Pelodiscus sinensis: one gene and its partners. The protein of the gene in region 1 interacts with the protein of each later gene in a pairwise test. Links are inferred from orthologs where the notes say so. Each region holds a gene or a part of one and is shown on either strand. Other genes may lie near its edges.

The links.
Region 2: the proteins of SPRY2 (region 1) and HSD3B7 interact in binary tests that used the Homo sapiens proteins (3 or more experiments, as listed by UniProt). The two-hybrid records come from large-scale screens. The link is inferred for Pelodiscus sinensis from reciprocal best matches to the Homo sapiens genes SPRY2 and HSD3B7.
Region 3: the proteins of SPRY2 (region 1) and ZDHHC17 interact in binary tests that used the Homo sapiens proteins (3 or more experiments, as listed by UniProt). The link is inferred for Pelodiscus sinensis from reciprocal best matches to the Homo sapiens genes SPRY2 and ZDHHC17.

The regions. Positions count from the first base shown.
Region 1 is NC_134711.1:264,026,835-264,030,576, reverse strand, and holds the start of SPRY2 (protein sprouty homolog 2), read right to left. Parts: upstream 2,545-3,742; 5' UTR 1,793-2,544; intron 1,230-1,792; exon of another isoform or gene 534-1,229; intron 467-533; exon of another isoform or gene 1-466.
Region 2 is NC_134714.1:133,976,775-133,980,516, forward strand, and holds the start of HSD3B7 (3 beta-hydroxysteroid dehydrogenase type 7), read right to left. Parts: upstream 2,427-3,742; 5' UTR 2,412-2,426; coding exon 2,259-2,411; intron 1,452-2,258; exon of another isoform or gene 1,257-1,451; coding exon of another isoform or gene 1,110-1,256; intron 1-1,109. UniProt on the Homo sapiens protein: The 3-beta-HSD enzymatic system plays a crucial role in the biosynthesis of all classes of hormonal steroids. HSD VII is active against four 7-alpha-hydroxylated sterols. Does not metabolize several different C(19/21) steroids as substrates.
Region 3 is NC_134711.1:68,473,882-68,477,623, forward strand, and holds the start of ZDHHC17 (palmitoyltransferase ZDHHC17), read left to right. Parts: upstream 1-1,424; 5' UTR 1,425-1,518; coding exon 1,519-1,581; intron 1,582-3,742. UniProt on the Homo sapiens protein: Palmitoyltransferase that catalyzes the addition of palmitate onto various protein substrates and is involved in a variety of cellular processes.

The DNA of each region.
Region 1 (3,742 bases):
CAGAGTAGCTTAGTAAATTGCAGGTTTCCCCTTCAAGCACCAGCTCCAACTGGAGGGAGTCAGCTGCAGGAAACTTCGCCAGGGCAGCTACTATTTTGCTTATTGTATGCAATTTGCGTAAATTTCAACCAGATCCCCAGATGAGGGATTACAAAGTGGCCCCCCTCTGTATTTGTATCATAACAAACAAGCCCTTGAGTTTTATTGCACTGCACAGATCCGTTAACAGGGCAAGATGCAGACCTGCAGCACTTAAGACTCTTATTTCAAAAACAACGAGGAGTCCCTGTGGCACCTTAAAGACTGGGCGTAAGATTTCATGGTTAAAAACCACTCTAAAGCTTATGCCCCAATAAATCTGGTAGTTTTTAAGGTGCCACGGGACGCCTTTTTGCGGACACAGACTAACATTCTGAGACTCTCCTTTCACGTATGTTTTGCCTGTAGTTCTTTCAGGGAAACAAGACTTTCCCGTCTAATCTCAATGCTCCCCTCCCCTCCTTCCCACCCACCCTCTTTTTTTTTCCACCTACCGAATAAGAGCATAGCAAGAGAAACATTTGCTCCTTTTTTCCCCCCTTGAGATAACGCGATTCACCACTTGCAAAAGCCGAAGTCCACTCAGAGCAGAAATGCCCTGATTTGCTAACTCGGACTGGGGAAAGGGGTTGGCTTTTCTCCTCTGCACGCTTGGGGAAGTTTAAAACGCAAAGTGCTCCCTGTGTGCTGTGGAAAAACCCAGGTCGTGTTGGCTGGGAGAAGAAGGGAAGCCTAAGGGGGAAAAAGTTCTCTGCCCATGAATTTCAGTTTTGCGTCGGAAGCCTTCGCAGCACACCCCCACCGCACACGCACCAACCACCTCCTCCTCTTTGAAAGTGCTTTGAAACCCCCATGAAGGGCTGAGTGTGTGATCAGATTATGGATTAGGGCAAAAGGGACTTCTCCATCGGGGTGGGGCAAATTGACACACACATAGCTTGCTGCAAACCCCAGCAGCTTGCAGAGGCTATTGCAAAGTAAATTTTAAACCTTTCTTTGCCCTGCCTCCTCTCATATTGCTTCATACCTGCACACCATATATTGAAACCTGGGGAGGATCTCCTCCCTGTCAGATCGACAATCTATTTAATTGTATCGCATGGAAAACATTTATAGCAGGCGTGAGGTCACTTCCGAATTGCACAAATCTCCCCATGCACTTACAGAATAATGCCAGCCTTTAATGTACACAGAGATAGCAAGTCACCAAGCAGGTTAAAGTCTATAAAATATCCCCCCCATCATGCTGTTCCCTCCCTCCCCCCAAAAAACCCTATGTAATGCTTTGAGCCAGGATTTACCAGGACTTCCCCGTCTCCACCTTACAGGAGCATGTTGCAGTAATTGTAAGAAAATATAAGTATGCAAAGAAGTCACACGAGTTGCTTCCAGTGCTTGCAATATTTCGCAGACATTGCTCCCTGCAAATGCACAAACCTGAGCACAGATTTCCGCCCCCTAAGCTCTCACCCACTCCCCAATGGCGCGGAGCTGGGGGGCCCCCTCCCTGCAAAATCATTTTGAGGGAAAACAAACGTGATCAATCCTGAGAAACTATCCCATGCTCCCTCCCCCCCGCCAAACTTCCCTAAGAAAGAAATCTCGCTGAAATTCCACTTCCAAATCCTGGGGAAGGGCGTGAGGGGCCGGGTTCAGGGACTGAAAAGGGATCGGCCTTAAACATACATTTCCACCAGCTCTTCGGACTATTAAAAAAAAAGACTTGTTTTGCAAAGAAGGAAAATGTTCTCACCGTGATCGCGGCACTGTACCAAGCCCCTCGCTCTCTCTCGTGTTTTCTTCTTCCTGCAGCTTGCAAGTAAATCCAGCCTAAAGCAAAAACAAACAAAAAAACTTTTCCAAGCTCAGCTTTAGTCCATCATCACCATCCTCTCAAAAATCCAGAGCAAAGTGAGCTCTCTGTCCCCAGGTCGATTATAAGTATAAACCTCTGGGAAATGTCTCCAGGTCGGAGGGGTATTTCTTAGCCCCTAAAAAGAAGAAATCACTCATTCGCTATTTCCTCTTTTTTTCCCCCTCCTCAATGGACAGGAGGCCGAATCGCCAGTACCAAGTCACTTTCCTTGTTGTTGCAAATGATCACGGGGCGGGCGGGAAAGGAAAAGCCAAAGCAACCAAAATAAAGTGGATCTAAAAGAAAATCCCAAAGCTTTCGTCCACTGGGCTCCTCCAGGAAAGCAGCCTGTGCAATGTAGCCGTTCTGCAGGGCAGCTGCTGGCTGCAAGCGCCCCTCTCTAGCTTGCTCGCTCGCTCACTCTGGGAGCGTGAGTCTTGCAGGCAGCGCTGGGGTTTGTAATGGGGAGGGGGGTGTTTTGGAAGCGCAGCGGGTCTGTGGTGGTGCCTGTTGTGGTGTGTTGGGAGGAGGAGGAGGAGGCAGATTTGAGATCTGAGCGGCAGGGGCTTGGCGTTTTTCTGCTCGCTCACGCTCCCTCTCTCTCTCTCTTTTCCTTTCCGGAGGAGGCAGGGTGAGCGCTCGGCAAAGGCAGCAGTAAATGGCGTCATGTGGATCTGAGGAGGAACAGAGCAGTTGTTGTCCCAGAGGATATATCGCATCCGGTCCCAGCTCATTGGCTCTGCGGGGCTACATTCACTCACACTCCCAGCGCCCTGCCAGCACTCGGAGCCGCAGGAGGCATTCAAAAGGGCAACGGCACCGAGCGAGCCAGAGGGGGAGGCGGCCGGCCGGCTTGCCCTGCAACTGCGAGCAGCGCGGCTGCTGCTCGATTACTGTTACAATTGCTATTCCTGCGGCTGCTGTTGCTGCAGCCGCCGCCGCCGGCCCGGCCTCCCCACACTGCTCCCTAGCGCCGCAGCAGCTCCCTCCCAGAGCCGCCGGGCCACTGAGCTTGCTAAGGGGGCTCCTCCGTGCACAGGAACACACCGCCTCGTACGTGCGAGACACTCGGGCGGGCCAAACAAAAGGCTGCGTGGGACCCTCGGGCGAGCGGGCTGGTTACCCTGGATTGAAGTGAAACCCTTTGGGGTTGAGATTGAAAAGCAAATGGAAAACTTTCCGCGGTTGTATTTTTTGTAGTAGAAGTTTGAACAGTCCCCCCGCATTCGCACAGTCGTTCGTGCAGTCGGCGCGGGATGTCTGACTTTGGGTACGGGTTGCTGCGTTAAACATGAGCAGACACCTTGTTCTAGCCGTAGCCACCCCTTCTCCCCCTCCTCCCTCAAATTAGCAGCCGCGATAGGAAGGGGAACGCGGTGTACCTGAGACAGCAGCTCTCTGCTCAGGACATGCTTGTCCCCTACACAATGGAATGAGTGGCACTCTGTGTTTTCTGTCCAGGGATCAGCACGCTGCACGAAGGTGTAATAATAATAATAAGGTGCTAAAACCCAACAACAGATGGGGGGGGGGGGGAGAAAGAGAACGCCCAGTCTCATTGCTAGGACTGTGTGGATAGACCCCATCAGCCCTGTGACGGTCAGAATTGGGGCCCCCAGGTACTCCAGTCCTCCTGCGGTCTCCAGGTGGGGCTGTAGCACACACAATCTACTAGCCTGGGCCCCCTAGGCTCTGGTGTGTGAGGGGAATGTCTTTCTCCTTCACAGTTTGGGCCAAGTCATTGAGGGTTTTTCCTTTTGCTTCTCGCTTGTGTGTGGTCCCTGACTGATTTTTCTGTGGGTCAGTGGCCCACGACCCAAAAACAGGTTCCCCACCCGTGGGTGTAAA
Region 2 (3,742 bases), on another chromosome or scaffold:
GCGCCCTCTAGCGCCTCCCTGGGGCACTGGGCCAGCCCTGCCTGCCAGGGGAGAGCACCCCCTGCTGGGGCCTGCCCTGCTCCCTGCCCCACAGCGCCCCCTAGTGCCACCCTGGGGCATTGGGCCAGCCATGACCACGATGCACTTATTGCCCCTGGTTAGCTCCCCACCCACAGTAGCTGATTTCCTAGGCTGGTGCCTCCTCGTGCTCCCTCCCCCTTCAGAGGCGAGTGTCCAAGGTGAAGCAGAGATAAGATGCGTGGGTCAGGCCTGGCCGTGAGATTAGAACCGGCTCTGCCCTTGACCCAAGGCCACCGCCCACTGCCATGTATGGCTGTCAGTCCTCCGGGAGAGAGAGAAAAACACCTCTGGCTTTGGGCACCCCTGCTCTAACCACTAGATCCCACGCCCCTTGCAGAGCTGGGACAGAACCCAGGAGTCCTGGCTCCCTACCCCGTCAGCCCCCCCCCCCAACCCACTGGACCTCACTCCACTCCCAGCACTGGGGAGAGAACCCAGGAGTCCTGGCTCCCACCCTCCTTCATTCAGACCCATGGGCCCAGCGGGTGCCCCACACCCATGTGCTGCCTGATCCCGGCAGAGGGATGCCCTGAAGCATGGGTGTGACCCCTCCCAGACCCAAGCCCAGCCTGGCTGGCAGGCGATGCTACCTCCGACTGTGCCGGTCCCTCCAGGGCGAGACGCTGCCCAATTCTGGGGGTCCCAGCCCCAGCGCAGGGGCCGGCCCAGGGCAAGATGGGTCTGGTGGGGGTGGCTGGGAGGGGGCAGGCTGCGGTGGAAGGGCAGGAAGGGGTTAACAGCAGGGATGGGAATGGAAAAACTTCTCCCGTGCTGAATCCGCTCCAGCTCCTGCACCCCAGAACCACGGGGGCCCAGCTGGGACCAGCCCCCGAGTCCTGGCCCCCTGCTCCCCCCAGCCCCCCCTGGAGCTCAGACCTCCTGAGTCCTGGCTCAGCCACCCCACCTGCCCCCCTCCCCTCTCGGAGCTCAGGCCGGACCCAGGAGTCCTGGAAGCGCCTGGCCGGGTGCCCCGCTGCAGGCCCAGGGGTCCCGCCGTGGCGCGGGAGGGGCCCGGGGATCCGCGTTACCTGCTCGGCCCGGGGCGGCTGCCCTCCGCTGTGTCCTGCCTCCTGCGCCATCCGCCGGGTCTGAGCCGCTCCATGCCCTGCAGCGCCTGACAGCCCCGGCCCCGCCCCGGCCCCGCCCCCCGGGGTCCTAGTGCCCCGGCAGACCATGGGGTCCCGGGTTCTCGCCCGGCTGGGGGGGGCCGGGGGGGGGACTGAGCGCCAGGACTCCTGGGCCCTCCCCCCAGCTCCGGGAAGGGAGATGGGGCGGGGACGCCTCAGTTGGCTTGGCCCGTCTCCCTGGCCTCTGACGGCCCTGGAGCTGAGCCAGCCTTCCCCGGCTGGGACAGGTGGGGGCAAAGGGACCTCAGGCTGGGGGGGACCTGCTTCCCCCCTCCCCCGCGCACCCCTCCCCACCGCCTGGGGCTGGAGTCGAACCCACCCCCTCCAGCAGGGCAGGTCCCCAGTGCCCCATCCCCCCCCCCCCCCCGCAGAAAGGCCCCTTGCACCTTGTCTGCTCCCTGACCCAAGCCATGTGGGGCGCGCAGGCTGGGGGGGGGGCGCCACCTAGGAGCCTGGGATCGGCCCCCCCCTCCACCTGCTTCAGCTACGTAACAGGCCGGGTCTTTTCCGCTAGGCAGACCCACTTCCCACTTCCCTGTTCCCAGCACCTCGCCGGCCCGGGGGGGGGGGGGCTGCTCCCCCCTCCTGCCCGCGACAGCCTGTGGGAATGCACCGAGCGCCCCCTGGCGGCCACGGGGAAGCAGCCCCGCCCCACGGGCTTGGAAAGCATTGGGGGGGGGGGGCGGGGGGAAGCAAGAGCTCGCTGCCCTGCAAGAACTGGGACAAGAACCCGAGTCCTGGCTCTCTCCCCCCCCCCCCCCAACTCCCCATCCCAGCCAGGGCTTCGTGAGGCCGGGACTGAAACACCCCTAGGGATGGAGACACCCCCCCCCGGGGAACCCAGCCCAGCGCTTCCCCACCCCCTAGGGAAAGTTGGTCCTAATCTCCCCCCCACACCTCCCCCAGTGCAAGGGGAGCCCATCGCTCCTCCCCCTGCCCCCCTGAGAACAGCCTCTCGGGACCCCCCTGCAGGGAGCTGGAGGCTGCTCTCGGATCCCCCCTCGCTCTGCTCTGCCGCAGCCTGAACAAGCCCCAATCCCTCAGCCTCACCTCGTAGGTCAAGTGCTCCAGCCCCTGCATCACTTCGGGCGCCCGCCGCAGGCCCCTCTCCAAGGCGCCCACGTCCTTTGTGCAGCGGGGGGCCCGGACCCGGACCCAACACTCCAGCTGTGGTCGCGCCGGAGCCCAAGAAAGGGGAATCATCACTTCTCTAGCTCTGCTTCCCACTCCCCCCTCCCCTCCCCGTGCAGGGAAAAGGAGGCTCTTCAGCGCTGGGTGCACTCATTTCAGGGGGGTTCACCCCCCCAATGCCCCCCAGCGCCACCGACACAGGGGTCTCTGAGCAGCTGCGGGTGGAGTCTTACCTCACCCGCCGGCACTGCTCCCCCACCGGAGGTGACGCAAGGAGAGTGTGACCAGACCCCCGGGTTCCTCTTTCACACCGACACTTTCACTTGCAAACAGCCCAGCTCCCCCACCCGCCCCAGCTCTGAGCCAGAGGCCCCTGTCCTGCTCCCCCCCCCCCAGGCAGCCAGCCCCCCATTCTTGGATCACCCCCCTAAAGGGGAAAGGCCCTGCGGCCCTGCTCAGAGCCAGTGCTCCCCTGCGCAGAAAGGACCCATAGCCCATTCCCCACTTCCAAGTCAGCCGGTTCCCCACCCAGTTGCCACTCACCTCTAGAAAGGCCCCAGCCCCATTCCGGCCCCCCGAGCCAGCCAGGCCCCTGCTGCAGGGCTGGATCAGAGCTGGCACTCCGCAGAGCAGGTGTGGCCAGTCATTTTTGACCAGAGGTCCCTTCAGAAAAGGATGAAGTGGCCCCCGGCTGCCCTGGAAAGGGTGGGGCCTCGGCCAAGACACTTCTCCACACAAAGACCCCGACTGGGCTGGGGGTGGGGGAGCATGCAAAGTCTCTGCCTCCCCCACCCCAGGAAAAACAACCAGCTGTTCAGAATAGCTGGCAGTTCCCTCTAAGTGCCCCTGGCAGCAGGAGGCGGCTTTGCGTGCTCCCGCCTGCTGGCCCCAGGTCAACACATGAGGTCTCATTCTCTGCCCCTGCCCTGCAAGGGAGCACCAGCTTAGAGTCACCCGCCCGCTGAGCAGCAGCCAAGCGCTGAGCCCCTTGCAGGGCGGGAGACTTTGCGTCCCTCCCCCCCAGGCCAATTAGGGCTTGGGGAGCACGACAAGTCTCCTCCACCATGCCAGGAGCAGCACCCATTGCAGGGCGGGGGGGGGGGGGGGGAGACGGAGGAGACTTTGCACTCCTCCCACAGGACCTGACTGGCCTGGGGCCCAGGGGAGCAGCCAGATCAACTTGCCTGGAACGCTGGATCAGGTCCACCCTGCCCTAGCGGGAAAACGCCCCAGTCCCCACCTGAGCCAGCCAGACCGGAGTTGAGATTGGAAACCAGCCAAGCCCACAGGCTGCGTCTGTGTCTCTCGCAGATGGCAGTGGGAGAGAGAAACGTGAAAACGTAAGACACACAACCACGGTAAGACCAAATATAAATAACCCGGTTGGGTGTCTGTATTTTTTT
Region 3 (3,742 bases), about 200 Mb from region 1:
GTCAACTTGCCTCAGGCTGAGAGGAGAAAGTCAACATCTTGCACCTCTTCAGTGCTTGGTTGGTATGCTGAGAATGCCAACATGCATGCCAGTTACAATATTGGGTGTTTGACCAGGTTGCCAGTCCCCAGAGAGAAATTTGAAGCCCTGGTATTACATATTCATTGTGCTCCAACTCTCATTTTGTTTTAGTTACACAGAGACTACAAAATGGGGAAGTGTGTGTGTGTGTGTGTGTGTGTGTGTGTGTGTGTGTGTGTGTGTGTGTGTGTGTGTGTGTCAGGGGGGAGGGGTCGGGGGCATAAGTGTAGGCCTGCAATACTGTACAATTGTTTCCCCATCCCTCAGCCCTATCAGGCTGTGAGGAAGTATTAGAACATTACTCTAATACTACACTATTTTGTGGGCAAAACAGTGGAGAAGTACACACTGGCTACGTCTAGACTGGCATGATTTTCCGCAAATGCTTGTAACGGAAAAGTTTTTCCATTAAAAGCATTTGCGGAAAAGAATGTCTAGATTGGCACAGACGCTTCTGTGCAAAAGCACTTTTTGCGGAAAAGCGTCCGTGCCAATCTAGACACGGTTTTGCGCAAAAAAGCCCCGATCGCCATTTTCACGATCGGGGCTTTTTTGCGCAAAACAATACCGCGTTGTCTACACTGGCCCTCTTGCGCAAAAGCATTTGCGTAAGAGGACTTTTGCCCGAAAGGGAGCAGCATAACATTTCCGCAAGAACACTGACAATTTTACATGAGATCGTCAGTGTTCTTGTGGAAATGCAAGCGGCCAGTGTAGACAACTGGCAAGTTTTTCCATAAAAGTGGCTGCTTTTGCGGAAAAACTTGCCAGTCTAGACTCAGCACTGAGATTCTCCTTCTGCGGATGTAATTCTCTGTTCCGCTGCTATAATAAAACCAGCTCAGCCAGAGGCATAAGTGGCTGTAGTGTGGGGCATGCACGGATTGTGTACACACGGTCCCATTGGGTGACTGTGGATGGTCTTTCTTGTCAGTTTCCCGCTGCCCACTGACTCCAGCACTGCGCATGGCTCCCCGGTGGCTGTAAGTCGACCTTGCCTAAATCGACCTCTCCTCGCAGTATAGACACAATCTAATTCGCTGCGACACTGCCCTGCCCTGGCACAGGCCGCGCCCCTGCTCGTGCCCCTGCCGCTGGGCTCCCCAGACCCTGCACGCACGAGGCGAGAGTCCCCCTCCCGCTCAGTCCCGCTGCTGCGGGGGCGGGGGTGGGGGCCGCAGGGCGCGGACCGGGCGGGTCCTTGCGGGGCGCGTTCCCCAGCAGCCCCCACCCCCGGGGTCCCGAGCTTGCGGGGGCGCGTGCGAGGCCGGGGTCACCAACTGCGCTCCCGTGACAGTGAGTCTGTCCCGGCCCCTCCCGCGCAGCATCCCCCTTGCGGCTGCCCCGCCCCCTAATCCCCGCCGGGCCTCCCCCTCGCTCTGCCCAGCGCGGGGGGAGCGCTACCCAGCATGCAGCGGGCGGCGGGCTCGCACCAAGATGGCGGCGCCTCTGGATGAGTACGAGAAAGAAGCGGGCTGCGTCCCCATCCTGCACCCCGAGGTGAGGCCGCCGCGCTGCTGGGCTCGCGCCGCCGGGCGCGCTCTGGCTCGCGCCGCCGCCGCCCGTTCTCCGCCCCCGGCTTGGGCGGCTGCTGGGCGGGTGGCGGGGCCGCGGGGGCGGAGGGCGCTGGCTGCGGCTGCCTTGGCCTGGGGGCCGGGCTGGGCGGGGGCGGCTGCGCTGAGGGAAGAGGCCGCAGCTTCCCTGGCCCCGGGGCTCTGCCGGGCGAAGCGCCCGGTCGCCGCTTCGGGACGCCCAGGGGGAGGGTCCGCCCCGCCGGGGGGCAGCGCGGGGATCCCACCCCCGAGTGCGTGCGGGGCGGCGAGAGGCCCCGCGAGCGGCGCGCTTGTCTGCTCCCGGCCCGGGTGACTGAGGGGACAGGGTCAGAGCGTCCCGTCGCTGCCCGCTCCTCCGGTGAGCGCCTCGCGCTGCGGGCACAGCCCTGCAAGGCCCCGTGGGAGACTCCGCAATGCACATGGCTCCGTAGAGCATCGCTCACTGCCTGGCGGAGCTGCACCATCCGTGCCAACGCGGGGCTCGCTACTGGTGGCTAAGCTACTGGTGGCAAACGGCTCAGACTTGGAATAAATGATTCCCGTCACGGTCTGCTGTTCTTGAGCTTCAGTTCACCCCTAAGAAACTGCGCCTGGTCCGACTCTGTCCAATTCTGACTTGCTGGCATCTTGTGTTTGTTTGTGTCTTCACTCCTCATTGCCACCTCTTCCCCCCACATCCTTCCAGTATAGTGGACAAGTGCTGGAGTAATGTCAAGTATCAGAGGGGTTGCCATGTTATTCTGAATCTGCATAAAGAATTAGAAGTCCCCTGGCACCTTATAGATTAACATATTTATTAGAGCATAAGCTTTTGTGGTCAAAGACCCACTTTGTCAGATGCATTTTCGTCAGTTGCATCTGACAAATGGGTCTTTGCCTATGAAAACTTATGCTCCAATAAATCTGTTCGTCTGTAAGGTGCCACAGGACTTGTTGTTTATGGAGTAATGTCAGTTGATAGCATTTAGAGGTCATTTTAAGTAATGTTCCATCCAAAAACAGATTATTTGTCTTTGTCTCAACTCTCTATAAACATTCTCCTTATGCCCTCTGATGGTTTTGGAGGATGTTGTAAACAGTATAAACAAAAGTTTTGTATGTGAACTCTTATCTAATATTGTAAGCCTATGAAAATAAGTAGGTGTGATTGCTAGCAGACTTAGTCAAACAGATGGTATTACTCTTCCATGCCAATATTTTAAAGATACTTTTAGGTTTATTAATAGCTAAAGAGACGTGACAGTGCTAAATGTGACTGTTTGCTCTTATACTTTTCGTACAGGAGTTTGACGTGTAGGAACCACTCAGTCAATAGGAGTATACTGCTAAATGCCTACATTTCATTTAAAATTAGCTCTAAGGTCTCAAATCAGACATTGCAAAGCTTAAATGTCTTTAAAAAATCTGGGCCTAGATCACACAGTGATCTGCCAAAAGGTCCTTTGGTGGCAGGTTAGGTGGAGTGCAAGTCAGGGATGTGAGTGAGTAGTTGACTATCCAGTAATCTTAGGCTTATGGAGTAGTCCACTCGACTACTCACTCCCTGCCCCCCCACTTGCTGCCTCTATATCAGAGGCAGCAAAGGGGGTGAGGAAGTAGGAGGCGGTGCTGGGGAGAGCTGACTTAAAAGCTGGTTCCCACCAGCACTGTCTCCGTGGTGCTGCCCAACCCTCCCCCTCCCATGCTGCTGCCTCTACTAGAGGCAGCAGCATGGCAGGTGAGGGAGAAGGAAGAGGGGATACTGTTGTGGAGCAGCCTCTGCCTGCAGCAGGCCCAGGCCCAGGCCCAACATGGGCAGAAACTGCTCCAGCAACAGCCCCTGTGTGTGTGTGTGGGGAGGGGGGGTCCCAGCATGCCAAGCTCTTACTACATTTAAACTGCAGAGGCGCAGCGCAGTTAGATCCGGGACCTGGTGCGTGTTAGGGCTGAGCCGGGCTTGCTCAGTCTCGGCTGGTGCTAGGGCCAGAATCTATCCCTGCTGTACCTCTGCAGTTCAAATGTACCAGGAGCTGGGCTACTTGCACGCCTGGCTCTTACCACATTTAAACTGCAGAGCCGCCGCAGGGGATAGCTCCTGGACTCGGCCCAATCTGGGACTGAGGAAGCCT